Linked DNA regions of Rattus norvegicus. The protein of the gene in region 5 purifies or fractionates together with the protein of the main gene of each other region. This does not show direct contact. Links are inferred from orthologs where the notes say so. Each region holds a gene or a part of one and is shown on either strand. Other genes may lie near its edges.

Region 1 (4,139 bases), on a different chromosome or scaffold from region 5:
TCAGGCCGAGCCTGCTGCCGTAGTCCTTATTTCAGGGAGTCAGACAGTGGGCCCAGCATTGGGGCAGAATGGGAGACTTCGGATTGTAAGCAGTGATCTCGTGTAACCCTATTCACTGGTCCATCCACAGGTGAACCAGTGCGTGATCGGCACTGCTCAGGCTAATAAGAAATGAAGATGGATGCAGAGCCTGGCTCCTGTGCAAGCGGGTGTGCGTGTCTGTTTTGTGTATATGTATAACACGGGGGTGGGGCGGGGCTGAGACATGATTTTATTGGGTGGACAACATTATGTACCCAACTATCAAATAAAGAAAATTTGGTGTAGGTTAATTTTTTTCTTAATCTTAGATTTAAAAAATTGTGTGTGTACAGTTGTTTAGCCTGAGTATATACATGTGCACCATGTGCATGTCTCCTGCTCCTTGAAGTTCAGAAGAGGCTTCGGGGCCTCTGGAACTGGAATTATGGACAGTTTTGACCATCGATGTGGGGTCTGATCAGTAAGTGCTCTTAACCACTGAGCCATCTTTCCAGACCCTGTTACAGCTCTTAATGGTTTTATTAATATTGGTAGCTGCCAGATGAAGTATTGTGAGTAAATACCGTAAGATGTAGAAATGTCCATTTTGACCTGTTTTGCAGAGTGAGGGAGGCTATGGGCTTTCACTTGGAGGGACACACTAACTTTGCTGCCTGCCCTGGTGCCTCTCCTCTGTCCTTCAGCTCAGGGAGTTGTGCCCATAGTGCCCACACCGGGCCCTCTGTGACCAACTAAATCTCTCACTTCCCCTGCCCACCGGTTCGAACCATGGTTCGGTCCGTGCCGCCTAGTGCCCATTGGCTGGTGTGGGCGCGTCACCGCCCCAGTACTAGTTCCAAGTAGCCTCTGGTCCTTTCCCTCCTAGAGGAGCACGGCCATGCCAGTGCTCGCCGCGGGAGGAGTGGCTGTGTGCCCAGGTGCGGCGCGCGGGCGGGGCTACGCGTGCGCAGAAGGGCGGGGCAACAGAAAGCGTGAATGAGGAGGGCGGTTCCGCGTGCGGAGGCGGAGCTTGGAGTGGCCACGGGGGCGGGGCAACTAACGGATGTGGCATGGGGCGGGGCCCGGCCCTGACCTGCAGGCTAGCTGCCAAGAAGGTTATTTCCTGCTGCCCTCAGAGCAAGCCTCCTATCCGAAAAGGGGGCTACAGGGATTTCCTCGTCCTCCCCGACCGGCCGCGCCTCCAATAGCGCAGCGCCCTCCGGGCCTACTGGAGGTGAGGGAGGTGCTGCCTACCCGCCCCTCCGTCGTCTCCTCCCACTGGTGCTCCCCACCCTCCACTCTCCTCCCTCCTTCTGTCGACTCCTCCTGCCGCTGCTGCTGCTTTGGCTGCTGCGTCATACGCCCCAGAGCGGCCAGGACGGAGGGGCTGGGCCCGGGGACCCCCCTGGCCTCCACCTGCACGCCCCTCGGCGCTCACACTCAGTCTTCCCGCACCGGGGACTCACCCAGATCTCTTGGGTCTGCCCCTACCTGGCTTCCAGCTGCCCCAGCTGTCACCGGTAAGGAGAAGGCGGGAGGCCCGGAGGGGGGGGGGCAGGGAACCGGGGGTCGGTGCGCAGGAAGGGCTGGGGGAGCCTCCTGGTCCCAGTTTGGGATCTGTGCTGGGGCGACTCAAGTCCCTCCGTGGACTGGCAGTGTAGGGGAGTAGAGACTTGGACAGGGACACGCCCCCCTCCTGGGGCACTCAGGGAAGTTATCTAATCCCAGGTCAAGGAGCCCCAAATTTGAGGGTGACCTAACATAACCTGGCACCAGGATGGTGGCTCTAAATAAGACACACAAGCCTGGGGAGGCAGCTGTTTCTACTCCTTTAACGTCTTTAGAAAAGCTCCCAAAACATCTCCGGGCAACAGATTGCCCCAGTTAGGCTACCTCTACACAGCTGGGAAAGGTGAAACTAAGTGGTAACCTTGATTCTGCAAACATCTTTTCCACCGGAGGTCCGGAGGAGCTGGGATACTACGGAGCTAGGCAGGGGAGATGGAAAGGAGTGGAGTAGAGAAGCTGACCAGAACGACCTGCCTCCTCGGGGTTCTAAAGGATTACGAGACTGGGGTTGGAGATTCCTGGTCAGGGTCAGGGTTTCTTCATCCGTAACAGAAAACAACCCACACAGGGACACTTTCTCAGCGCTCATAAACTCTAACCATCCTGTTTCAGAATAGCCCACCCCAGGATGCAATGGCGCAGCTCCCCCGGCTGAGCCGTTTGGGTGCTCCCTCTCTTTGGGACCCAGCCTCCCCTGCTCCCACCTCAGGCCCCAGACCTCGGCTTTGGGAAGGTCAAGATGTGCTGGCAAGATGGACTGATGGGCTCCTGTACTTGGGCACCATCAAAAAGGTGAGGCCCACCTCTGATCCCCTGCCTTCCCAGGCCGGTCTGATTCCTGCCCCCACTTTACGGTCTTGGTCATCCACTCCAGGTGGACAGTGCGCGGGAGGTGTGTCTGGTCCAGTTTGAGGATGATTCCCAGTTTCTAGTTCTATGGAAGGACATCAGCCCAGGTGAGACCCTTCAAAGCACAGCTTCCCTCTGCAGCAGCTGGAGCCGATGGGGACGCTGGGTTGAAGTGGGCCTCCTGACACTTTGTTCTCTCACAGCCGCCCTTCCTGGTGAGGAGCTCCTCTGTTGTGTGTGTCGCTCTGAGACCGTGGTCCCTGGGAACCGGCTGGTCAGCTGTGAGAAGTGTCGCCATGGTGAGAGGGCGGGATGTTTAGGGGGTGCAGTTTGCCCTGGGTCTTCTGGGTTACCACTAGAAGGGTTACCCTCCCTCATAGCGTGAGTCACGCACGTCTCCTGCCTGGGCCAGTCCTCACCCTGTCACCTCATCTCAGTACAGGGAGAGGGAGCGTGGATGCAGGTGACAAGGCTGAGGGCCTACCGTAGCTCGCTCACATTTCTTAACCAAGCTTCCTTGGGCAAGGTCCTCAACTGCTAGAAGCCCGTTGACTCAACTTGAGTGTCAGGATGAGACCTGCCAGCGGGACCGGTCTTAAATGCCCTGGTCAGGACTTAAAGGCCACTCTGTGGCCTTCTCTCCTCATTCAGCCTATCACCAGGACTGTCACGTCCCCAGGGCCCCAGCCCCTGGAGAAGGAGAGGGCAGCTCCTGGGTCTGCCGCCAGTGTGTCTTTGCGATTGCCACAAAGGTAAAGGCACCTCTCTGCCTGCTTGTGTGGGAGCCTCCCGTGACCTCTCCTCCTTCCCTGCCCTCTGAGGCTTCCCTCTGTTCCTCTGCAGAGGGGAGGTGCCCTGAAGAAGGGTCCCTATGCCCGGGCCATGCTGGGCATGAAACTCTCCCTGCCGTACGGTCTGAAAGGGCTGGACTGGGACGCCGGACATCTGAGCAACAGGCAGCAGAGCTACTGTTACTGCGGGGGCCCGGGGGAGTAAGTGAAGGAAGAGCAGGGCCAGCCACGGCATGGGTGTTTTGTGGTGGTAGAGCCCAGGACAGAGGGGAGCGAAGAGGGTGAGGGGGGGCCCTGTGGTTTGAAGAAGGCTGAGGGCCATGGCGCTGTCTTCCCCTTGAGGTGGAACCTGAAAATGCTGCAATGCCGGAGCTGCCTCCAGTGGTTCCATGAGGCCTGCACCCAGTGTCTGAGCAAGCCCCTCCTTTACGGAGACAGGTGAGATCCAGGGAGACTGCACAGGAGCCTGGGGTGCTCTCTCTCCCGCGCTCCCGACTGACTAGTTAGCCCTCTGCAGCTCGTACTGGAGGGTTGAGTGAGGTCCCTCTGTCCTGACCCATATACAGATTCTATGAATTTGAATGCTGTGTGTGCCGGGGCGGCCCTGAGAAAGTACGGAGGTTACAGCTTCGCTGGTGAGAAGGATGGTGCTCTCCGCCATTTTACTCTATGACTCCTGACTCCATAATGCTGCTGCTGTTGACAATCTCATGCTCCTCCAGGGTGGATGTGGCCCATCTTGTTCTCTACCATCTCAGCGTTTGCTGTAAGAAGAAATATTTCGATTTTGACCGAGAGATCCTCCCCTTCACCTCTGAGAATTGGGACAGTCTGCTCCTGGGGGAGGTAAGGGTTCTAAAGTTTGAGAACTGGGGTTTTTGGAACAAGGAATGCGTGCTCCCTGGGACC
Region 2 (4,226 bases), on a different chromosome or scaffold from region 5:
TCTGAGCTACTCCAACCATATCCAATCCACTGAGAGCAACTGGCCAGCCCTGAGCTTGGATAGCAGTGGGTTCAGTGAAGTTCTGCCTTGCAATCACATCCATGACATTTGCTGCAACCAACAATACCATTTTAACAAAAACTTATAGGCAAAAAAAGAGGGAAAAAACGTAAAGGGTTAAAGATAAAATTTATTCCTTACCAGGAAAGTTTGCTTCATAAAAATTCAGAACAGGTTTTGGACAGTTGTGACCTCTGACTGTAATTTCCTTGCTTCTTCTGTACGTATCTACCTCTTGCTGAAAAACAAATGATCTTGGTCTCAGACCTAGGCCAGATACACCGACAAGTTCCCTACAGCTCAGTTACACTCATTTCTAACTATCTGGACCCATAAATGGAACTCTACTTAGCAGTAAAAATCACAATACACATTAAAAAAAAAAAGTGTCTATGAAGCCCAAATAGGCTGACAAGCCTGTTTCCCCAGTGATGTTTCCCCAGAGATTAACATATGGCCATTACACCTGGCCAATACACAAGAGAAAATTCAATGGGAAGTCAGACAAGTAATTCTCCAAATAATCTGCAAGGCACCTGCTAAGTTTCCATCTAATTGATCAGAAGTAGTTACTACTGAGTTATAGCACGATGAAGCCACATTTAAATACTCACTGCGGTGCGCCTTGCCAAATCAGGGTGTTCCTGATAAAAATTCTTCTCAAATTTGGGCAGCTCATCAAGATTCCACTTCTTTTTAACTAGTTTCTCCCCAGGATTTCCAAACTTCTTTCCAGATAGGGGTCCTGTTCTACTCCCTCCAAATCGAGGTGCACCAAACCTACAAAAAAAAAAGTTAGGTACATTGTGAACAGACTTCTACATGAACAGGTTTGTCTCCACATTTCATTTAATGTCTCTTGATCCGAGCCAAAGTGTGCCTCTGGAATCCTTCCCAACTGTCATTCTACGGACAGCCACAACTGGCAGCGTTTCTTTTCTGAAGTCCCAAGTACACTCTAATGAGGCCAAATAAACAGCGTGGGATCTATCAGGTCCCAAACTGCCCAAACGTCTGAAGTTCAGATTACAAGGACAACAGCTAGAGGCTCCCTCTTCTCTCCCCACAGAGCTTAGGAATTAAGTGTCTAGGAGCTGGACAAGAAGGGAGGAGCTTAAGAAGGTTATTTTTGCCACTGTTTTCATCAAAGGGCCTGATCTTAAAGAAATAACGGGACTGCGCAGGCAACGTGAGTGGCTATGGGAGGACGGTACCGCGGGCAGGGTAGAAAGGGGCACACGCGCCAGGGAGCCTTGTTTTAGGAAACGCCGCGAACGGCTGCAAATCAAGGTAACAAAATTATATAACGCGAGGGAGAAAAAGAGGAGGAGTCGACGGCAACCGGGGGAGGAGTCCCGGCCCGGGCGGCGTTCCCGCTGGGGCGGCGCTTCCTTCTTTGTCTCGCATTTCTCTCTGCGCCACATTTTCTCGACGCTGCCATTTTGAGCTCCTCCGCCGGGCGGGGTAACAAAGGCGCCGCCGCCATGTCCGAGGCCGGCATTTTGTGGCTGCGGCTCAGCCACATGGCTGAATCCGCTGGCGTAGGCCACCCTACCGGGCACAGACGGCCTCGAAAGCGCCCCTTGTATTCTCTGGGGACCCCGGGGGCCCCCCTAAAACCCCCAGCGAAAGGCTGCGCAAACGACGCCTTGAGCCGACTCTAAGGCGAGGCGCTTCCCTATCTAAAACACCTCCGGGCTTCCCACAACAGCCGCGAGGTCGCCCAGGCCGCCGTCCTCCCAAACAAAAACCAAGGTTGAACCCAGTTACCAGAAGCGTCGCCTTTAACGGCTTTTTAGCCGGATGTCAGAGAAACGCAAGGCCTCCTACCAGAAAAAAAAATCTAAAGGTCGGTTGGAAAGCCGAGCTTCTGCCGCGCCGCTCTCCCATCCCCCACCCGCCCTGACAGGTCCCTTGTTATACTCACCCTCGATCCCGGCCGCGGTCTCGGTCACTAGAATAACTCGACATGGCGTCAATGGTTGCGGTGTGCTGGAGGAACCCAGTGAAAGAGAATCCAGTTGCGACGAGTCGCTGAAAGGAGGCCTCGGCGACGGCGAAGCCTTTGCGGGGGCGTCACCAGCGGAGGGACGGCGGTGACGAGGGCCGGAGCTGTAAACCCAAGGACCGATGGAAATGAATGAGGTGCCGGCTGCGTCCGGGCAGCCGGTTTTATAGTCTGGACCGCCTCCTCGTCGCAAAGGATGCTGGGAGCCGCTCTATGACCTAATCACCCCGCCCCCTGGCTCCAAGGCCTCAACGCCCGCTGGCGTTCCGGAATCCGCCATGTTCTCGCCCCTCCCCCCCGCGGGCGCTCCCTCATAGGCGCCCGTTTATTACTCGCTTCTCGACTGGGTGACACCACTAGAATGCCCCGTCCCACACCCTTTTGGCTACACCACCTTCTCGCCTTGCTACATGTCAAACAAGCTTCTTCCCCGTGGCCAACCAGTCATTAAAATGGCCAGCACCAGCCATCCTACTGTCTCTACTTGAAGATGTTTACGTCTTCACAGACTCCCCCACGCCCATAACCAAAGAAGACGGGGGAGGCGGAGCTTGGCGTTGTCACGTGATTGTACCCTGGGCAAGGCGTATCGCACTACTTTCTCGCTTGCCTTCGGCGGAGGAATACAAAACCACAAACTCACCGGAAGCGCGGCTCTAACGCCCCCAGGAGATCGGCCGGGCTGCTGGGTGACCTGGCTGCCCTGCACGCCGATCTGAGAGCCCTTAAGCGGGATCTTGTCCGCGGGGAATGGTATCTGGAGCCCGCAAACTGCCGCCTAAGCGCGTGCTGCGAAAGGAAGTGCTTCTCTTCTGACCAATCAGCGGCGAGAAGCCGTTTTAACGTCCCTCCCTTTTCTACCCCTCCTTCCCCGCTCTCTGGTTTCTACCCCCTCCTACTCCCTTCGGTTCTACCGGGTTCGACCCTTCCAGGACACCGTCGCCCGCGCTCTCGTCTTGGAGTCTGGCCGCGACCTCACTTGGCAGTATGGCCAGCTCAGAGGCTGGTGAGTCTCGGCCTGGAGCCCTAGTGTTTTTGTACTGCAGCATTCCGCAGGCCTCGGGCTGAATCTGAGCCATGTCTGGGCTGCTGGAGAGGCTCGTGATGGTTGGACACTAGTTGCAGTCGCAGGGAATCTCTAAATTTAGGGTCTCACCCTCGAGACCTCATGTGTTTTCCAGGCGTGGAATTGAGACTTGGGATGAGACAGGAGCTCATTGACAAGGCTGGGATACCCTCATCCTGTTTTTACAGAGCAGTCAGGATCCTTCTTGGATCCGAGTTTCTGTGGGGTATCTAGCCACAGACTGTCTCTCCTTCCCCTTTGGTTTGTTTGGACTAAGGTTGAACCTATCTATATATATTTTTTCCTTTTGAGGCATAGCACTCATAAGATCTTTTGATGCCCTCTACAGTAACTGGCTTTGTCTAGTACAGCCTTTAAAAAGCCAATTGACTCGGTTGTCTAGGACGCTTTCCTCGTCCTTTCCAAGACAATACAAAATGGTTGTCATGGCTTGGTCAGCTGTGCGCATTGGGCATTGGAAGGAGGGCAAAATGGGCATGACACATTCAGACTACTGTCTCCAGAATGTCTGACTGTACTGGAAATGTGACCAATTCTAAAGTGCTTTCTAATATCCAGTCATTTCAGGATACAGGCGTTTCAAGCTTTCGGAATTATTGCTGAAACCCTTAATCGTTAGTCCTGTACTATCTGGGGGAGGGCACGAGCTGTTTTTGGAAAAGAACAACGGGGAGCTTGATTAGGATTATTAATGTGCTAGTTTAGAGCTTAGCGATTTGGCTTTTTTTTTCTTTCATTTTTACCTTCGTACACATCAAATATAATAAAAAAGAAAACTAACAAATGCATTAGTGTCGGTGTTGTCATTATTCAAATTCCTAACAGCCTAAATTAATCACTTGTTTGGGCACCCGAGAGATCTTACTTATACAAGATAATTGGGTAAAAACATGTCTAAAAACTACTGGGAATTCAGAGCTACCTCCATTAATTTCTAGCAGTTTTTAGGTTTTCATTTACAGCTGTCTTACGATATTCCTGGTTACCTATAAATTTATTGTAACTAAAAACACCCATGTGAGTATAAAAATACCGGTAAATAGGATTGTAGGTTGCAAGAATAAAAGTTGG
Region 3 (3,500 bases), on a different chromosome or scaffold from region 5:
CTCGGAGGCCCAGGTTGGCAAGCTAGAGCAGATTCTGGCCCCACAGCAAGACAAGAATCTCTTCTACCACCACCAGCTGATTACCAATTCCCAGCCCATGTGAGCTTTTATATAGTTACTGATGCTCACAGCCACACAAAGGAAAAACTAGTAAGTGAACTGTGAACCAGGGGAGGCAGAGCTGGCAAAGTGCTGTGCCAGGTTATGGTCATCTGTCAGGCCTAGGCTTTTTAGCTGTTTCATTACTTCCTCCTTTCTCACGTGACTCCAAGAAAAGCACTCTGCCTTCTACTCTCCATTGCACCTGCACAGGTTCTCACTCTGAGCTTACTTTCAGCACCCTTCCTTTAAGATCCCTAGGTAACTCTCCTGGCTCCCATTGGTCCAGACCTGCCTTATGACAGCCATCCTACCCCCTGGGCCCGCCCCTCAAAGCTTGGTTTCCCCAAAGACTACTCTGGGTTTCCCTCCTGCAAAGCGACATTAAAATTAAACATTAAACAATCTGCCCTCCCTAAAATGACATCGAGGATCCGCCCCTCCAGATCCCGCTTCCGTGGCCTGACACCTAGGCCCCGCCCTCGCGACTGTCACTTTAGGCCCGTCTACCCTAGACCTAGCCCCCAGTGAGCACTCTGGATTTGCCCATCCAAGACACGCCTCCAAGGCCTGACACTGAGGCCCCGCCCCGCTGCTGTCACTCTGGGTCCGCCCCTCTAGATCCCGCCTTCATAACCTAACAGACCCCGCCCCCTGTCAAGTCTCTCTTGGTCCACCTCTACAGCGTGACACGAAGGCCCCGCCCCATGGTTCCAGGTTCGCCCCTCCAGGTCCCGCCGCCAGACACTCATATCCCTCAGCCCAGCTGTCACTCTGGGTCAGCCCCTCCAGAGTCTGATGCTCAGGCCCCGCCCCCAAGCTGTCACTCGGAGGGCGCAGGTCCCGCCTCCAGAGCCTGCCAGTCAAGCCTCACCCCGCCCTTCAGGCTGTCACTCAGGCCCCGCCCCCGAGATGGGGTTCCCTGGGAGCCTGTCAGTCCCGCCCAGCAGTCAACACGTGTCCCGCTCTGGTGCCTTACTCTCCAGGCCCGCCGCAGTAGCAGTAGCATTGCTGCTGGTTGGTGCGATGGGGCGAATCCCAATCGAGCTCCTCAGGCTGGTAGGACAGCACCATTTTCACTGCCTGCAGCGTCTTGGCGATGGCGCCTTTCTTCAGCGCACCGCCTTTCTAGGGGGAGATAGGACCCAGGTCAACAACTACACCTGTCAGCACACAGCTATCAGGAGAAATGCTGCCAGGGTTCGGGGAGACCCAGACATTTTATGAACATCAGAAAAACGAGCTTTTTCTCACCAATCCTAAACCCATCCTGTTTCCTTTAGTGATATTCATTGATAGCATTAGTTGTAAAAAGGACAACACACACACACACACACATACACACACACAATCTGTGAAAGAATATATATTTATCTTAAGAGCTTTTTAAAAAAAGAAGTAAAAAAAAATACCACGTGTAAGGGGGAGGTACATAATAACGTTGTCTTTTAATAGCAAACGGCCCTTTGTTAGGGGCCTCCTACTGACACAAAACTGGGTCCATTTTATGGTTGGGAACACTTGAGGTTTAGAGAGGTTCTGAGATCTAGCCTAAGACAGCACCCTGTGTCTCCAAAGTCCAAGTGGAGCCCTTCTGCCTAGAGAACAGCATCAGCGATGTCGTCTCAGGCCTGAGTCTCGTGGGGCTCTGGTCTGCCCAGTTGGAAGACAGGAGGGCAAGGGCTGGGGAAAGGGGTTGGGAGATGCTCACCCTCACAGCCAGTGCGAAAATGCAGCGTCGGCAGAACCAGTGAGTGAGGAGGGGCCAGTTGGCATCGACTGCTATGGGGATGTGGCACTGTTGGTGGTAACCTGGGGCAAAGGAGGGGATGGTGAATCAGTCACAAGGGAGCAGTGGCCCAAGGCCAGTTGGCCAAAGGCAGCGAGGCTAGTCGAGCTATGGCAAGCCCTAGGGAACTCTGCCTGCCAGCTTTCAGGGTACTGGCTGGTGGTACCCAGCCAGCGAGGCACAAAAAGAAGGTACTGGCCACTGTAAGAGGCACCAAGAATGAGCTTCAGCACCTGTCTCTCTGCCTAGGAGGGTCACAAACTACATTTCCCATTGCTTTTGGTCACCTTTCCCCAAAGCAGGAGGAGACATGTCAGGGATAGAAGGAATAGGATAGATAGGAAGCTAGCTGGGACCTCAGCAAGTGCGGTGAGGGCCCACAAAATGGGAGGGGCCCACCGAGTGGGAGGGGCCCGCCGAGTGGGAGGGGCCCACAAGGCAGGGCCTTTCACAGTGTGCTATTCACCCACTCACCCAGGCCACACTTCCCACAGATGAGGATCTCGTTCATCGGTCCTGAAGTCTTCCCCATGCAGACATCACACTTGGGCTCCTCTCCTGGAACACCAGCTGAAAAAGAAGTCCCCTCAACTCAGGTCCAGCTCACACCACCAAGAAATCGTCAAAATCATCTGCCGAGAAGGAATCCGTACTTGGATCCGGTGAGGAGCTCATAGGGCCCCTACTGGGAAACTTAGTTCTGCGGCTCAGCTACATTGACACAGAGTCTAAATATATGTTATACCCATTCAGCCTTAACCGGAGATGCGTCTGTCTCCTGTGAACTGCGGAGTGCAGAAGCAGCTGTATAAAATGCTGAGAATGAGGGACGGTTGAAGCTCAGCTCTAAACAAGACATCCACAACGTACCCTCATGGGACATTGTTGAAGAGGGGCCAGAAAGAACGGAAGAGCTGAAAGGCAGAAAAAAGGGCTTGGCATGCCATCTGTTGAGTGTGGCCCCTGTAATGAACTCTTAACAACTGTAGATGACACAGGGTCTGCACAAGGATGGACCCATCCATACCAGACATCGACAGCAGGGACACAGGGGGCCTGTCCCTCACTGCTGAACAATTATTTTGATACATTCTGGGGGGGGGGGATGGAGAGTTCCTTCCTTCAGCTGTATACCCACTGATGATTCTGCTGGACTTCAGTAAGTCGTCCCAACCCAACGGCCACACAGATGTCCCCGATTGTGCGATCACTTTGGGTCACACAACAAAACCAAAAATCGAGCACCTGGGAAAGGGGCAGGTAGGGAGGAGGGAAGAGGAGGGTGGGAAGGGAGGATCGGGGAGGGTTGAGGAGTGTGTAGCCAGAATGGAGATCTATAAAACTGTCAGGGACTTTCGTTGTTAAAGCCATCATAATAAAAACCACAGAGCAGGAACTGAACTGCTGTGCTTTGAGCTTCACTATCCATCCCACGAGCTGCCTCGCCGAATCTTCCCAGGCTTCCGGAGATGTCTGCTAACACCTGCTCCAAAGACGGGGAAACTGAGGCTCGGGAAGCTAAGGCCCTTGCTTAGCTGATAAGTATGAGAGTGGGATTCAAACACACAGCCATTGCTCCGATAAGTCTTAGCTCTTCTGCCACATCCGGTTC
Region 4 (3,995 bases), on a different chromosome or scaffold from region 5:
GTGTGTGTGTGTGTGCGCGCGCGTGTGTGTGTGTGTGTGTGAGAGAGAGAGAGAGAGAGAGAGAGAGAGAGAGAGAGAGAGAGTATGCGAGAATATGCCTTGTGCTTGGGAGTCAGAGTGTAATGTGGGCTCCTTACTAGTTAGGAGGAACATAAACTCCAGGTCTTTATTTTACAAAAGCTTATTAACAAGGCATTCCCTTACTGAAAGTTTTGGAAGATGCAATGCTTCCCTTAATGTAAACCCCACAAAGGAAAGGACTCTTGCCTGAGGATAGGGAGGAGCTTTCACTAGTTTGAGTATTGATCTCTCCTTCCAGGCTTTCTTTTCTTCCCACCCTCCCGAGTTTCGCTTTTTGAGACAGGGTTTCACTGCGTTATCACTGGCCTGCCTAGAACTCTCTCTATAGCTCAGGCTAGCCTAGAGATCTCGGAGACTCTCCTGCCTCGGCCACCCGAGGGCTGGGCGTAAAGGCACGCCTATTTTAGGTCAGGTACATGTGTGCACCGCCCACGTGACCGGGAGGGAGGCCAGGGTCAGAGCTTCTGGAGTTAGACAGTTGTGAGCCGCCATGTGGGTGCTGGGAACCGAGCGCCGGGTCCTCTGGAAGAGCGGTTAGATCGCTCAACGGCAGAGCCAGCACTACACCCCCGAGAACTCAGCCTACCTACAGCTTCATCCCAGATTTTATTAGAAGCTCCAGGACTAAAAACTGCGAGGATCTTGAGCTAAAGCGCTGCCCTCTTCGTCTGAGCTTCCCTCCTTGGGTCGTTGGAACGTCGGGACAGGTAAGCAGGTCCGGCTGAGAGTGAGGACTATGCCTCCGCGGTGTGGACGGCAGCTCTATGCCTCAAAAAAAAAAAAATCTATTTAACTTTCTGCACATTTTTGTGTCCTGTCTTTGCGTACGGTAAGCACTCAGAAGGTGAGACTCTTGCTCCACTTATGGCTTCCTTCTACAGGACACCTTCCCACACACACTCTGAGCGGATGCTTTCCTCTAGAGAAGTACAGGGCTGTGAAAATCCCCAGTGACTTCAGGTTTCGAGGGCTCGTCCCGCCTCCGCTGGGCGCGGGAAGGCGTGGGAAGGCCCCGAGAAACTCTCCGAGGGGCCAGGCTGGCCGGGGGAGTGGCTGCCGTGGGCCGCCGCGCAGGCGCGCTGCCTCGTCCGCGTGAGTGCGCGCGTTCCGGCGCGTGTCCCCGCGCGGGCTCCGTAGCGCGTGTGCAGCCTGACGCAGCCCCGCGGGCCCTCCTCCCGCTCTGCGGCGGCTGCGAGGAGTTTGGGGCGTGCGGGCGCGGGGAGGCGGGGGCGAGGCGGCGCGCCGCGAGAGGAGGCGGCGGCGGCGAGAGGAGGCGGAGGAGCAGCAGGCGCCGCCATGGCCGCCGCGCTCACCGACATGGCCGACTTGGAGGAGCTCTCCCGCCTCAGCCCGCTGTCCCCCGGCAGCCCCGGGCCCGCGGCGCGCGGCCGGGCCGAGCCGCCGGAGGAAGAGGAGGAGGAGGAGGACGATGAGGCGGAGGCAGAGGCGGTGGCCGCGCTGCTGTTGAACGGCGGAGCGGGCGGCGGCGCGGGGGGCGGCGAGGCGGAGACCATGTCGGAGCCTAGCCCCGAGAGCGCCAGCCAGGCGGGCGGGGACGAGGACGAGGACGACGAGGACGACGAGGACGAGGGCAGTAGCAGCGGCGGCGCTGAGGAGGAGAGCAGCGCCGAGAGCCTGGTGGGCAGCAGCAGCGGCGGCTGCAGCGGCGACGAGACGCGCTCGCTGAGCCCGGGCGCGGCGAGCAGCAGCAGCGGCGATGGGGACGGGAAGGAGGGCCTGGAGGAGCCCAAGGGACCGCGGGGCGGCCCGGGCGGCCCGGGCAACGGCGGCGGTAGTAGCAGCAGTAGCGTGGTGTCGAGCGGCGGCGACGAGGGTTACGGCACCGGGGGAGGCGGGAGCAGCGCGACCTCCGGGGGCCGGCGGGGCAGCCTGGAGATGTCGTCGGACGGGGAGCCGCTGAGCCGCATGGACTCGGAGGACAGGTCAGTGCGCCGCCAAGGGAACTCTTCCCGGACCCGGTCGAGGGGACTCAGGGGACTCCTTCCTGACTCCAGGGGACTCCCCTTGGGTCCTGTCTAGGGGACTCTTTGGACCCCTTTGAGTTGACTTCCTTGCCCGATCCCCTCCCACCTCCTGGACTGGTGGCCCAGCAGGGGGGACCTCCTGGCAGCGATCTCCTTGCTCCGGGTAGAGTCCGGGCCACCGCCAAGGGGACCAAGGGGACTTTCTCGCCGCGGTCCTTTCCGTTTCTTGCCTCCCCTTCCCAACCCCGCCCGCCCGCCCGCTCGCCTTGAGAAACGTCTTCGCCAGCATCACCCCTGCCCCCGACTCTGGGACCCCGGACCCCAGACCCGGGGGACTTTCTCTCGGTGATCTCCCGCTCCCTGGTTCTCGGCCCCTCCCCCCCAGATCTCAACTTGGAAATCCCGGGCGGCCGCCGCGCCCCTCTCTCGCCACTGAGCGGCTTCCAACTCCTCACCATCCCCCTCAACTCTCCTTTCCCCTACCCTCCTTACCTCCGCGCGCGGTTCTTTCGGATCGAAGGACGACTCTATCCCGGAGACAGCTCCCCCAAAGCGGCCCAGAAGCCCTTGGTGTACACCTCGGTAGCTTCGTGCATCGGTGTTCGGGAACACTTGTCAGAACTGTAATTGACAAGTGTTTTCCAATATGGCTGGTCTCCTGGATCTCACGGGAGTAACTTGTGCTGGGAGGACATCCCCAAGCCTGGCTTTGCTTTACTTTCAAAAAGGACTGTTGGTCTGTTGTGTGTAATCACAGCTTCTCGAACCCCTCACATGTATCAGTTATATCATCTCAGGGGATTTGAGTTTTGGTCATCAAATCTGAGCGACCAAGTTTTAAACATTGTGGAAAAGAACAGTGAGTTTGAATTGATGTCCTTTACAGTAACTTTGCAGAATCAGAAAGAATTGGAGTCATAAGATACAGCCATGAAGGTTAAACAATTAGGATGTGGCTTACTTATGAAAACGGCATTGTGCAGCGATACTTTGATGTGGGAGTCACATCCCCCTTGGTGATTTTTTTTTAAAGTCATGTATGGGGGAGGTGTCTGGAGGAATTGTGGCTTTTCTAGAGCTTGTTCTAGTTAGAACATTTAAGAAATGTAGTATGTTTTGGTTGCTGCTCTAATTTTTGATTGCTTTGTAAAATTTCATAATTGAAGTTGATTTTCAATGTACTTTGAAAAAGAATCAGGCTTAATATGTTCCTAAAGTACATTAGCGTTTACTTTTGACCATCTGCTAGTGTTTTGATGATTAGAATTTATAAGCCAGTAGTGATTTCTCTCCTCGGGTTGTATTTTTTTGGGGGTGGGGTGCATCTGCCTAATCAGTTGCCCTTATTGAGAATTCAACTTTACCTCCCTTAGTCTCTGGATAGAGTCCACACACACCACCATCCCTGGATTTTGATTTGATCTTAAGTTAAAGCATTCTGAGGTCTTTAGGAATTCTGGTTGCCAAAAAAGATGAATATGTTATTAGCTAGTGATAAATGAACAATCTGGAGGAAAAAAAAACCCTCAGGCATTCTTTTGACACTTTAAAACTGAGATAAGTAAATACATTTTCTTTTTCCTCCAACATCTGTACAACAAGGTTTCCCTTTGTAGCCCAGGCTAGTCTGGTATTCACAGAAATCCTCAGCCTCCCAAATGCAGGATCCACCATCTATCTGCCACAAGAAGTGTTCTTGAATGGGTGTAAAACAGACTGCTCCTTAGGAAAACTTAGAGAAATGTGCTAACCTGTAGGTGTGGTTGGGGAAGGTAATGTCTTTTTTTTTTCTTTTTCTTTTTCTTTTTTCTTTTTTTTTTTTTTTCCGAAGCTGGGGACTGAACCCAGGGCCTTGAGCTAACCACTGAGCTAAATCCCCAACCCGGGTAATGTCTTTAAGAAACCTGTGGGGCCGCCTATTTTGGGGGC
Region 5 (3,500 bases):
TGGAGAAGGATAGCACATCTACTCAATACACACGGCCTAACTGTCACCTGTTAGTTTTGTTTGGGTTATAATCGTAAGATTCCTTAATCGCATTCATCATTCTCTTTGAGTTGATTCTCCACAGTTTAAGAGAGTGATCCATACCACAGGACATTATTTTTTCACCCAAAAGATCATAATCCTAGGAATAAAGCAGAAAAGTGCAAATAAGTAATTTATAGCCTCAAACGCTCCTTTCCAGTTTTCACCTGGTGCCCAGTACCATGAGCACGACATTTCAATCCGGAATACTAAGCACATTCCGGGCGTCACCTCAGCACAGCACAAGTCACAGACATATTCTGTTCAAAATTTTAATCTGTCATCACTAGAGTACAAAATAGAAGTTTATTTATACAACTATATTTAAATAGCTTCCTTAAATTTAAAGGTAATCAGATGTTGAAATAATCATTTTGACACAGAAAAGCTACACAGTTATATATTACTTTTCTTGTCCAACTCCAATTTATAAAAGACACGAGTCCTTCAACTGTTAGATCATACGTTTTCTTGTACCACTTAAAATTACATTCACTAAATGTACTTGACTAAATCTCAGCACAGAGATGAGGAGGAGGACATGAAGGCCCTCTCCTAATGGAGGAGCTGGCATCTGACTGCTTCTGGGAGAGGAGTCAGGTTTTGAGTGGCGTGACTCCGGGCACATTTACCTCACTTCAGGGCAGGCCCCATGACTAGCTAACGCAAACTGGACTGGGTGTGGAGAGGAAGAAAGGGAGGGAGGAAGAGAGAAAGGTAGGGAAGGCTGTGAGAGAAGCTGAGGATAGGGGTGAATATAAGCAAGATATATAATAAAATATCACATTTAAAAAAGCAACAAATTAAACAAAAAAATATATTTGTTGTATGTGTTTGGGGAAGGTGGCACCCATGCTCAGAGGTTGGAGGACAACTGGCCAGACTCACTCTCTACTTCCTCCAGGGACTGCACGTAAGGCTCCAGATTGTACAGCAAGGACCTGTACCTGTGAGGCCATGCCATCAGTGCTGCCCACTCCCATGTACTTTATTTCAAAACATTCAAGTCTATATTGTTTTTAGGGTTCACTTTTTAAATGAGTAAAAGTCTAAGAGGATTTTAGTTTTTCTTTTTTGACTGGCCTTGAACTCAGAATCCTCTTATATCAGCATCCCATGGGATTACAAGTATAAAATACCATTTTATAATGCTTACTAATTTCTAATGCATAACAAATATTATGTAATTACAATGTCATTTCGCAGGTGAACACAGTCCAGATATGCTCTTAATTGAGTACCAAGCACTCAAAGAGTTCACAAAATGCTCACATACTTTCTCCCTTTTCATAGACAAAAGGGATGGAGTCTCTCCTGCTGAAGATTTAAGTCTCAGTAAGCCACAATATCCGGCACAGTGGTGCACACCTTTAACCTTAGCACCCTGGAGGCAGAGGCAGGTGGATTTCTGTGAGTCTGAGGCCAGCCTGGCCTACAGAGGGTATTCCAGGGCAACAGCGTTTTGGAGAGACCCTGTCTCAGACAGGAAGAGCACAGGTGCAAGGGTAGACAGTTCTAGCCAGGAGGGTATCTTACAACCTAGGTATTCTGCAGCGACTCAACCTGAAACCATTTTACCAAAACATTAGCTTTGGTGTTTACTGATTTCATCAATCTACTTGCTACTATTTCTAATCACTTCATTATCAACAACAAAATATCCTTAAGAATCTATGGCTCTGTGTTAGCTTTAAAAAAAATTCTTAAAGATTCATTCATTTCTGTTTATTGGTGTTTTGCATGTGTGTCTGTACCACATGTGAGCAGAGCCCATTGAGGACAGAGGAGGACACCAATGCTCTGCAACTGGAGTACTGAACCCAGGTCCTCTGGAAGAGCAGCCAGAGCTCTTAACTGCTGAGCCATCGCTCCAGCCCCTCTGAGTCAGACTTCTCTTGCTTGATTCCATACAAAGCCTGGTGTAGAATGATACCAGGACTTCTAGAACTATGCAAGCTGATACAGTAGCATTAGGTAGCCTTGATTCTCAACGAATGCAACATTTTGGCACCTCCATATATGGTTCAAAGTGATTCAGCTTTAAGAAGTTAAATTAGGAAAAACACTGAAGAGAAACAAAACTAAAAAAAATTAAAATCAATCAATCAATCAAATGAGTTACCAGGCAAAGGCCACAATGTTAAAAACTTGAACATGGCCTAAAGCTGACAGGTCCCTGATTACAATGTATCAGCAAAAAGACAGTACAGGATTATCTCTACCATTATCAGGACAGTGAGATGGCTCCCCATTAAGGGGCCTGTTACCAAGCCTAAATAAAGACCAAAGTTTGGTTTTTTCCCTGGCAGAAACAGAAAAGAGACTCCAGCAAGCTGTCCTGTGATCACAAAATGGCAAGTTTTTTTTGGCAAGTGTACATCTACCTAGTCATACATATATACACAATAAAGACATGTAAGAAAGAAGTGGGAGGGAGGGAGGGCAGGCAGAACGAGTGGCCCAGGCTCTGTTCTCATCACTCGGGAAGCAGAGGCAGGCTATGTGTGAGTCAGATGTCAATCTGGTCTACACAGCAAGTCCCAGGCCAGCAGGCCTACAGTGAAACCTTGTTTCCAAAGCACAAACAACATTTTTTTTAAGCCATAAACTGTTGGTCTTGCTTACTACCCAGGGAAGAGGCACTGGAAAATATAGGGTAATCACATCAGAAGAATTCCTCAAAGTCAACCACTTATTTCTACTTCAAACAAAACTTATGGATAATTAGAAAAACTTGTTCTTTAATAATAAGAACAAGGAAAATTCAATTGGTGACTCTGAATTAAAAAGAAAAAAGTTGGGTCTAGACCTAGACCACCACCCCACCACCACCACCACCACCCCCACCACCAAATCTACAAAGAGAATGACTGACATATTCTTCCACTCATCCGAGTCATTTTGAAAGACTGAAACTGACAGAGGCCCACTTGCTCTACCCCTTTGTGTGTAGTTCAACATCTTTATGTTGAATGGATGAAATGACTGCCTGCCAGGCTAGGCTGCATGAGGAGACATGCTTGCCTATGAAGAGAAAAGTTCAATGGGAAACATTCACTCTATGTAAACCAAAGGTCATTACCCCAGATTCAACTTACAGCACTCAGCACTTCATCTCTGTGCCCTTCCACACCTCCGAATATTGCCACAAGAGTGTCTGTTTGGATATTCCATAATCGTAAAGCATGATCTAATGTAAACACAGAAAGTTAAGATAAATTTTTATCACTCATCTACTGCAAACTTTCAGTAAAGTTTATATGTAAAAGCCATGAAAATTTAGATTATGTACAATGAAACTAAGAATATCATTCATGATATATAACAACTTAAAATACATCACATGTAAAAATTATTAATGTTAAGTAAGTTCCAAGCTACACACTGAGACTGCCTCAAAAACAAACACATAAATGAAT
Region 6 (3,430 bases), on a different chromosome or scaffold from region 5:
TAAAGATACAGTGCACCCGTAAGCAGTGAAAAGGAGCGTCACCAGCACAGACGGACCTGTCCTCTTGTCCTCCGCCTCCTTCTTGTCTTCCTCAATCCTGGCTTTTTTGGCTCCCTTCTTATGATCAGCGACATTCCTACGACCTCCTTCACCTTCATCCTCAGAATCTGAGAACTCTTCATCACAAGCTATCCGCTTGTCTGATGCTCGAACTGGGACACAAACATTTTTATTAATTTGGTAATAGCCAGAGGTTCTACAATCATTACATAAGGTAGATAGATATTGATAGATATCAAGTGCCTACTTTCTGGATGCAGCCATGTTTGTGTAGTCACACAAAATGAAGGGTGATATTAATTCAGGCTTTGAGACATCAGGAAGCTAAATCTCACGTTATTAAATGGAGAAAAGGAGAATCACAACATGTGCTGTGAAGGAGTTTCTTACTAGAAATTCTCTTGTCAGGGTCTTCTCCATCCTCATCACCACTGTCTTCATGAACAGCATCTTCTGGAATAGCTTGCATTTGAACACCAGGCGCATGTGGTAACATTCGCAGATTTTCAAATAAACGCTGTCTAAACGACACAATTTATTAGACAAAATCCACTGTATGCAAAGTTCCTGTTAGACAGAGGAGGAACTAAACAAAAACAAGTTCCCATTTAGCTAACCGCGGAATGGGACACTAGTGGAGCATCGATCACTGCACACACGGCTGACCCCACAGCACACAGCTATGCTTCACTTCACCCCATCTGACGGATGAGGCAACAAGAGCACTTGTCCATGTCCTACAACTGTCTACGGGCGAGAAGACACAGCCCATTCCGCTCACCATTTCTACATTCTGTAGACAGAAAGCACTTGATCTAATAAAAATGTTTCTATTGGGCTGGAGAGATGGCTCAGTGGCTAAGAGCACTGACTGCTCTTCCTGAGGTCCTGAGTTCAATTCCCAGCAACCACATGGTGGCTCACAACCATCTGTAAAGAGATCTGATGCCCTCTTCTGGTGTGTCTGAAGACAGATACAGTGTACTTATATATAATAAATAAATAATCTTAAAAAAAAAGTTTCTATTTACAAAGGTTACATATTTGTGTTATTATTTTAGATTAAAACCACAAATATCCTTAAGGTTTCAAATCATATTAAAACAAAGAGAATATCTCATGTATCTAAAAGTTTCCTTTATTTGACCTTCTATAGCCTCCTGAAACTTCATTAAGGCGAAATGATTTCTTACTTTATCTTTTCCATATATTCTGGAGTGTTCTGGTTTGTCATGTTTGAGGGACTAATATGCAGTTTGAAGTCTGGTCCAAAATACTCGAAGTAATCATTATATGGCAACTCTATTAAAAACAATGAAAAGCAAGTTACACATTGAAAGCTTAGTTTCCAAATAAACTCAGAATCATAATCCAGGTAAAAGAACTATTCCCAAAGGAAGCTTGAGAGTGAGCATGGAATGTTCTCACAGATTCGCACTCTAACCATTCAGCCGTCAGAGGAGATCATACATTCCAGGGGTGTGGCTGCAGACCCTCCCATTCATCCATTTCCACACACTGCATGTTCTTCTAGATACTGCAACCTGAACACCTACCATTGGGAATTTCACAATCAAGGGCAACTGCAGTCTCATACGTCCAACATCGAGCAACATTCCGGATTGTGTAGCCACCTCCGCCAAGCATCAGCAACGGCAAGTTAAAAGTTTTCACTACTTCTACACATTTAGCGTGACCTACGACGAAGAAGATTTGGGTAACATTGAAATATATTCTTTAGCAATTTAAAATAGGACCTTAAAAAGGATAATTACAAACAATTTTACTCAACCAAAAAAAAGGGTCTGTAGACAGCCAGGCAGAGTGGCCCATCCCAACAGTCCCAGCTCTTGGGAAGCTAAGGTAAGGTAAGTGGCGCAGAATCTGGAGGCCAGGCTAGACCATACAGCATGACTACAGGGCAGGCCACCTCACCCCAAGGTGGGGGATGGGGGAGACAATGACAGGGGTGATGACAGGGACTGTATCCAACAAATAACTCGTGTTAAGTATTAAAACACACACACATGTATTTTACTAGCAACACAGGATGCTCATGAGAGGTCACATAAGGGTAAGGGAGAGAAGACACTACACAGATGCTAAATTTTGTTTCTCCTATATGACATGTGTAGCTTAACTACGGAAGGCAATACCAAAAAGTTTGACCACTGACTATCTTTAGGTGCTGGTATTATGGATAATTTTCTTAATTTACTTAATTACAAACCTCACATAGGAACAAGTTTTGAGTTACCAGTAACTTCTGGTGGTATTATCATTCAGGCACACAATGCCATCATTACAGTCCCTCAGGGGCTGGAGAGATGGCTCAGTGGTTAGAGCACTGACTGCTCTCCCAGAGGTTCTGAGTTCAATTCCCAGCAACCACATGGTGGCTCACAACCATCTGTAGTGAGATCTGATGCCCTCTTCTGGTGTGTCTGAAGACAGCTACAGTGTATTCACATACATGAAATAAATAAATAATTCTTAAAAAAAAAAAAGGGGCTGGGGATTTAGCTCAGTGGTAGAGCGCTTACCTAGGAAGCGCAAGGCCCTGGGTTCGGTCCCCAGCTCCGAAAAAAAGAACCAAAAAAAAAAAAAAAAAAAAAAAAAAAAAAAAAAAAAAAAAAAAAAAAAAACAAAAAACAAAGTCCCTCAATGCTGACAGCAGAAATTCATCCATTCCCCACCCCCCCCCCACATTCTCTTCATGGATTTTAGCCTTAATTAAAATAAAAAAGTCCCTTTGCAGCAGGCTTTCACTTGGTATTGAGATGCTGGCTGCCACAAGCATAGAAGCCATTGAATCTTTGGGTCCAGTTAATTTCAGTGTGAGGTTCTGTTGCTTGTTTTGTTTTTCTAACATTTTTATAACAAAGCTTAAAATATTTGGAAAAAATTAAAATTGCACAAGAGAAAAAAAAACCCCATTACCTAATGAGAGTTTACAGTGTCTAATTATCTGTTTTCTTCATGTTATCAACCAGACATCATCTACTAAAACAGTGTTACTGGACATTTCTAAGGACAGAAGTTAACTTACAGACTACAAGGAAAGAGAGCAGACAAGACCAGCGTTCAACCACCCAACAGCAGGCAAAAAGGGGGGGATTTATGAAATGAAGGCTAGAGGGCCTGTAAGAGGAAGCATGGAAATAATTAAGAAATAATAACAGCATAAGAAGAAATAACTGAGAAGTGAGGTGGACAGCAGCTGACCGCCTCACTTCCTTCACGAGGCCTGAGAGAATGCGGCTGAAGTCAGTCACAGAGGTACATTAGAAACTGTCAGTTATCACCTGACAGTACACACCGGGCACAGCTCACTGGCAGAGCACGGTCTTCGGCTCTGAGGGGAGGAACT
Region 7 (3,500 bases), on a different chromosome or scaffold from region 5:
TTTCTTCCTAGAGCTCACTGTCCTATCCTAATATTCTGGCATAGAAAGTACATGGTGTCTGCTTTTACAAGTTTTCAAATTTATTATACAATTTGTTTTAATAAGATCCTATGGTCTTTCAATTCTCATTGCAGTGTTCCTTTGAGCTTCGCGACTGGCAGGAATCAATGAGAACAGTTTTGAGAACTGTAGTCATAGAACAAATATAACCATGGAGACAATACTTAAAAGCTTTCTGATAATATTCCAAAGCATAGAAAATACATATAAAGCATGTTTACTATTCAGTGTTGTCAGTCTAAACTGACCCCTTTAACACATCACTGTCAAAGTTATTTTTGGAAATCTGAAACTGCAAAATAACCACAATTACAGAGCAGCTGACTGGTTAATCATTAAAATTCAAATGCTCTTCTTACCTATCTCCAAACAGCATTGGCTTTTGAAGGCATTGGACACAAGCCTCATGAAACCACTGCTTACATTTGCAGCACTGCAGCATCTTTAAATACCAGCTATCACAAAAAAAAAAAAAAAAAAAAAAAAAGGAAGAGGAAATGAAATTAATTAATTTTTTTTTTTTTTGGTTCTTTTTTTCGGAGCTGGGGACCGAACCCAGGGCCTTGCGCTTCCTAGGCAAGTGCTCTACCCCTAAACTAAATCCCCAACCCCTGAAATTAATTCTTTATAAAACAATACTTCACTGTAGTTCAAGACTGGTCTCCAACTCATAACTCCCCTGGCCTCCCCAGTGCTAGGATTATAAGTGTATGGCACTATTATTAAGCTAAATTACTACTTACTGATAAAGCAAGAATTCTTTTAAAGAAAATATAACTAATACAGTTCTGATAAAAGCACTGTTTCTGCTATAAATACTAATATTAGTATTAATTGTTCCCAAAAAGGTTAGTATCAATTATTTCATCCTTCCTCTCCTATCATGGAAATCTATATGCTCTTTAAGGTTAATTAGTATCTTTGATCTCTCTCAAATCACAAGATTCAGGGGGTTTGCTTTTTGTAGTGAGGTCTAATCCAGGTTGTTCTACACACTTTACCAATGAACTACACACCCATATAGCACTTTTTATTTTGCTTGTTGTTTTTATTTCTGATTTTTTTTTTTTTTGAAACATGGTCTCACATATTACAGGCTAGCCTCAAAGTGAAAATGACCTCAAAACTAGGGTCCTCCCACTTCCTTGTACTGAGATTAATCACTACTTCATCCAGTTCATGGCCTGCTAGACAGGCACTCTTACAGCTCAGCTACATCCTCGGGCCTCTTTGAAATGTTTTGAGTCTCATTTTGAGGTTGTCTTTCAATGCTTGATAACAACCATAGCCACCAACTGTTTAAAAAGATCTTTTTTCAGCTTGGGTTCTTACTGATACACAAGTGAACCCTAAACTCCTAGCTAGCCAAGAGTTCTCAACCTGTGAGTTAGAAGCCCTTTAAGATCAAATGACCCTTTCACAGAAGTCATCTAAGACTATGGAAAAACACAGAAATTTGTATTATAATTTATAACATTAGCAAACTTAGTAATGAAAATACTTTTATGATGGGGCGGGGGTCACCACAACACGAGGAAGTAAGTGTATTAAAGGGTTGCTGCATTAGGAAGGTTGAGAACTACTGTCTTAGGATGAAGCGATCACCCTTCTTCACCTCCTGAGTAAACTACAACTAGATATGTACCACCACGCCTAGGTCCAAGCTGGCAATTAAAAAAATTTTTTAAAATATGTGTATATGTGGGAGCCTGCTTCTCTCTATGTGCATCACGCACGTGCAGTGCTCCTCTCTATGAGCATCGCGTGCATGCAGTGCTCCTCTCTGTGCATCGTGTGCGTGCAGTGCTCTTCTCTATGTGCATCGTGTGCGTGCAGTGCTTCTCTCTATGTGCATCATGTGCTAGGAATGAACACAGGTCCTCTGAAGAGCAGCATGTACTCTTAATCACCAAGCCCACCCTTCTACACCTCCCCCATAAATTTGTGTGCCTGTGTGTGGATACATTCATGTTGAGTGTAAATGCCCAGAAAAGGGTGAGGATCCCTGGACCCAGAGTTGCAGTTGGTTGTGAGTCACCAATATGGTTGCTGAGAACACACCTAAGATCCTCTAGAAGAGCTATCAACCCCTGGAGCCATCTTTCCTCTGCCCCTGAAACTTTTTTGCTGTAGTTTATTATGCTTTTTTACATCACTTCTCTGTATCCTACGAAAGATAGATTAAAAGGTACCAGTGTTTAGCCCAAATGCCAAATGGCCATAGAGATTTCTGTTTATGAACATTTCTTTAAAAGATTTATTTACTTTATGTAAGAGTACACTGTAGATGTTTTCAGACACAACAGAAGAGGGCATCAGATTCTATTACAGATGGTTGTGAGCCACCATGTGGTTGCTGGGAATTGAACTCAGGACCTCTGGAAGAACAATTGGTGCTCTTAACCGCTGAGCCATCTCTCCAGCCCTTAACCAATTGTTTTATCCATTTGCAATTCCCTATCACTGCCACCATCAGTGATGAGAAGACAAACCAAGCACCCACAGCCCTAGTGCTCTTGGAAAGCTTGGCCTCAAGCACCTGAGGCCAGTTAAGTGGTACACATAGAGCGAGACTACGATTCACACAAAACGGGGTCTTCATAAAAAACATTTTTACAAAGAGAAAAGATACTGTGCATTAGTATAAATCACATCAGAGGACGTGACGTAACTGTTACTTACTCTCCAGGGCCTCCACAGTAGCAGTAGCACTGCTGAACGTTGGTTTTATGACCTGCATCCCATTCAAGGTCAGCCACGCTATAGGGTAATGTCTGCTTCATGACTTGCAGTGCTTTGGCATTTGGTCCTTTCTTAAGTGCACCACCCCTCTACATATTAAAAGAAAAACATTTGAAAAAGTGAAGGTCAAGTTTTTTAGCCAAATTTTCTAATTTTTAATTCTATAGTTTAAAAATGCTTGACACTTCTGAAATAATTTCCATTCTGAATTTCTATGACACCATATTGTCTGATCTGCTACTAATAATGTATTTATTTTATTGTATTCTTTCAATTTATTGCCCTAATCCCCACACCACTATCAGAAAGCACGAACACATACAAATAAACTACGAGCCATTTAAGGATCATTAATAAAACAATTCTACTAACCAACATTAGCTGCTAATTTCACTGAGAACAAGCTCTTCAATGTACACAGTCATTTCAATGGTAAGTCCTTAGAAATTACATTTAGTAATGTTTAGCCTAAAACAGTTAGAAGATACCTTTGTTGTTGTTGCAAAAACGCACTGTCGACAAAGCCACTTTTCATCTGAATCGATCACACTCGAGTCAATATGAGGCGTATGACACAGCTGATGATATCCTTAATATCAAAAAAGCAGAAAGCAAGTTCTATTTTATTATCAAGTACTGCAGAACATGCTTTCAAGAAGACATTTTACTTTTAGTTTTGTTGTTCCCTACATTATAAG

The links.
Region 1: the proteins of Eed (region 5) and Phf1 purify together in Homo sapiens (affinity purification with mass spectrometry; 8 studies listed by BioGRID and IntAct, with this or other methods). This does not show direct contact. The link is inferred for Rattus norvegicus from reciprocal best matches to the Homo sapiens genes EED and PHF1.
Region 2: the proteins of Eed (region 5) and Ddx5 purify together in Homo sapiens (affinity purification with western blotting; 3 studies listed by BioGRID, with this or other methods). This does not show direct contact. The link is inferred for Rattus norvegicus from reciprocal best matches to the Homo sapiens genes EED and DDX5.
Region 3: the proteins of Eed (region 5) and Phf19 purify together in Homo sapiens (affinity purification with mass spectrometry; 8 studies listed by BioGRID and IntAct, counting the BioPlex papers as one, with this or other methods). This does not show direct contact. The link is inferred for Rattus norvegicus from reciprocal best matches to the Homo sapiens genes EED and PHF19.
Region 4: the proteins of Eed (region 5) and Aebp2 purify together in Homo sapiens (affinity purification with mass spectrometry; 6 studies listed by BioGRID and IntAct, counting the BioPlex papers as one, with this or other methods). This does not show direct contact. The link is inferred for Rattus norvegicus from reciprocal best matches to the Homo sapiens genes EED and AEBP2.
Region 6: the proteins of Eed (region 5) and Hdac2 purify together in Homo sapiens (affinity purification with mass spectrometry; 5 studies listed by BioGRID and IntAct, with this or other methods). This does not show direct contact. The link is inferred for Rattus norvegicus from reciprocal best matches to the Homo sapiens genes EED and HDAC2.
Region 7: the proteins of Eed (region 5) and Mtf2 purify together in Homo sapiens (affinity purification with mass spectrometry; 3 studies listed by BioGRID and IntAct, with this or other methods). This does not show direct contact. The link is inferred for Rattus norvegicus from reciprocal best matches to the Homo sapiens genes EED and MTF2.

The regions. Positions count from the first base shown.
Region 1 is NC_086038.1:5,018,636-5,022,774, forward strand, and holds the start of Phf1 (PHD finger protein 1), read left to right. Parts: upstream 1-1,339; 5' UTR 1,340-1,541; intron 1,542-2,202; coding exon of another isoform or gene 2,203-2,223; coding exon 2,224-2,382; intron 2,383-2,464; coding exon 2,465-2,546; intron 2,547-2,642; coding exon 2,643-2,738; intron 2,739-3,090; coding exon 3,091-3,191; intron 3,192-3,282; coding exon 3,283-3,431; intron 3,432-3,572; coding exon 3,573-3,668; intron 3,669-3,796; coding exon 3,797-3,865; intron 3,866-3,952; coding exon 3,953-4,076; intron 4,077-4,139. Other genes in the region: kinesin-like protein KIFC1, read left to right, coding at 131-175. UniProt on the Homo sapiens protein: Polycomb group (PcG) that specifically binds histone H3 trimethylated at 'Lys-36' (H3K36me3) and recruits the PRC2 complex. Involved in DNA damage response and is recruited at double-strand breaks (DSBs).
Region 2 is NC_086028.1:92,229,129-92,233,354, forward strand, and holds the start of Ddx5 (probable ATP-dependent RNA helicase DDX5), read right to left. Parts: upstream 2,801-4,226; 5' UTR 2,712-2,800; exon of another isoform or gene 2,701-2,711; intron 2,604-2,700; exon of another isoform or gene 2,463-2,603; intron 2,173-2,462; 5' UTR 2,032-2,172; coding exon 1,988-2,031; intron 841-1,987; coding exon 675-840; intron 299-674; coding exon 202-298; intron 112-201; coding exon 1-111. Other genes in the region: Cep95 (centrosomal protein of 95 kDa), read left to right, coding at 3,056-3,074. UniProt on the Homo sapiens protein: Involved in the alternative regulation of pre-mRNA splicing; its RNA helicase activity is necessary for increasing tau exon 10 inclusion and occurs in a RBM4-dependent manner. Binds to the tau pre-mRNA in the stem-loop region downstream of exon 10.
Region 3 is NC_086021.1:38,583,855-38,587,354, forward strand, and holds part of Phf19 (PHD finger protein 19), read right to left. Parts: intron 2,459-3,500; coding exon 2,363-2,458; intron 1,912-2,362; coding exon 1,811-1,911; intron 1,228-1,810; coding exon 1,079-1,227; intron 1-1,078.
Region 4 is NC_086022.1:175,258,349-175,262,343, forward strand, and holds the start of Aebp2 (zinc finger protein AEBP2), read left to right. Parts: upstream 1-1,195; 5' UTR 1,196-1,377; coding exon 1,378-2,024; intron 2,025-3,995. UniProt on the Homo sapiens protein: Acts as an accessory subunit for the core Polycomb repressive complex 2 (PRC2), which mediates histone H3K27 (H3K27me3) trimethylation on chromatin leading to transcriptional repression of the affected target gene.
Region 5 is NC_086019.1:153,290,501-153,294,000, forward strand, and holds part of Eed (polycomb protein EED), read right to left. Parts: intron 3,272-3,500; coding exon 3,180-3,271; intron 182-3,179; coding exon 48-181; intron 1-47. UniProt on the Homo sapiens protein: Polycomb group (PcG) protein. Component of the PRC2/EED-EZH2 complex, which methylates 'Lys-9' and 'Lys-27' of histone H3, leading to transcriptional repression of the affected target gene.
Region 6 is NC_086038.1:42,120,127-42,123,556, reverse strand, and holds part of Hdac2 (histone deacetylase 2), read right to left. Parts: intron 1,758-3,430; coding exon 1,617-1,757; intron 1,363-1,616; coding exon 1,254-1,362; intron 582-1,253; coding exon 451-581; intron 213-450; coding exon 57-212; coding exon of another isoform or gene 1-56. UniProt on the Homo sapiens protein: Histone deacetylase that catalyzes the deacetylation of lysine residues on the N-terminal part of the core histones (H2A, H2B, H3 and H4).
Region 7 is NC_086032.1:1,804,415-1,807,914, forward strand, and holds part of Mtf2 (metal-response element-binding transcription factor 2), read right to left. Parts: intron 3,392-3,500; coding exon 3,291-3,391; intron 2,892-3,290; coding exon 2,743-2,891; intron 516-2,742; coding exon 420-515; intron 1-419. UniProt on the Homo sapiens protein: Polycomb group (PcG) protein that specifically binds histone H3 trimethylated at 'Lys-36' (H3K36me3) and recruits the PRC2 complex, thus enhancing PRC2 H3K27me3 methylation activity.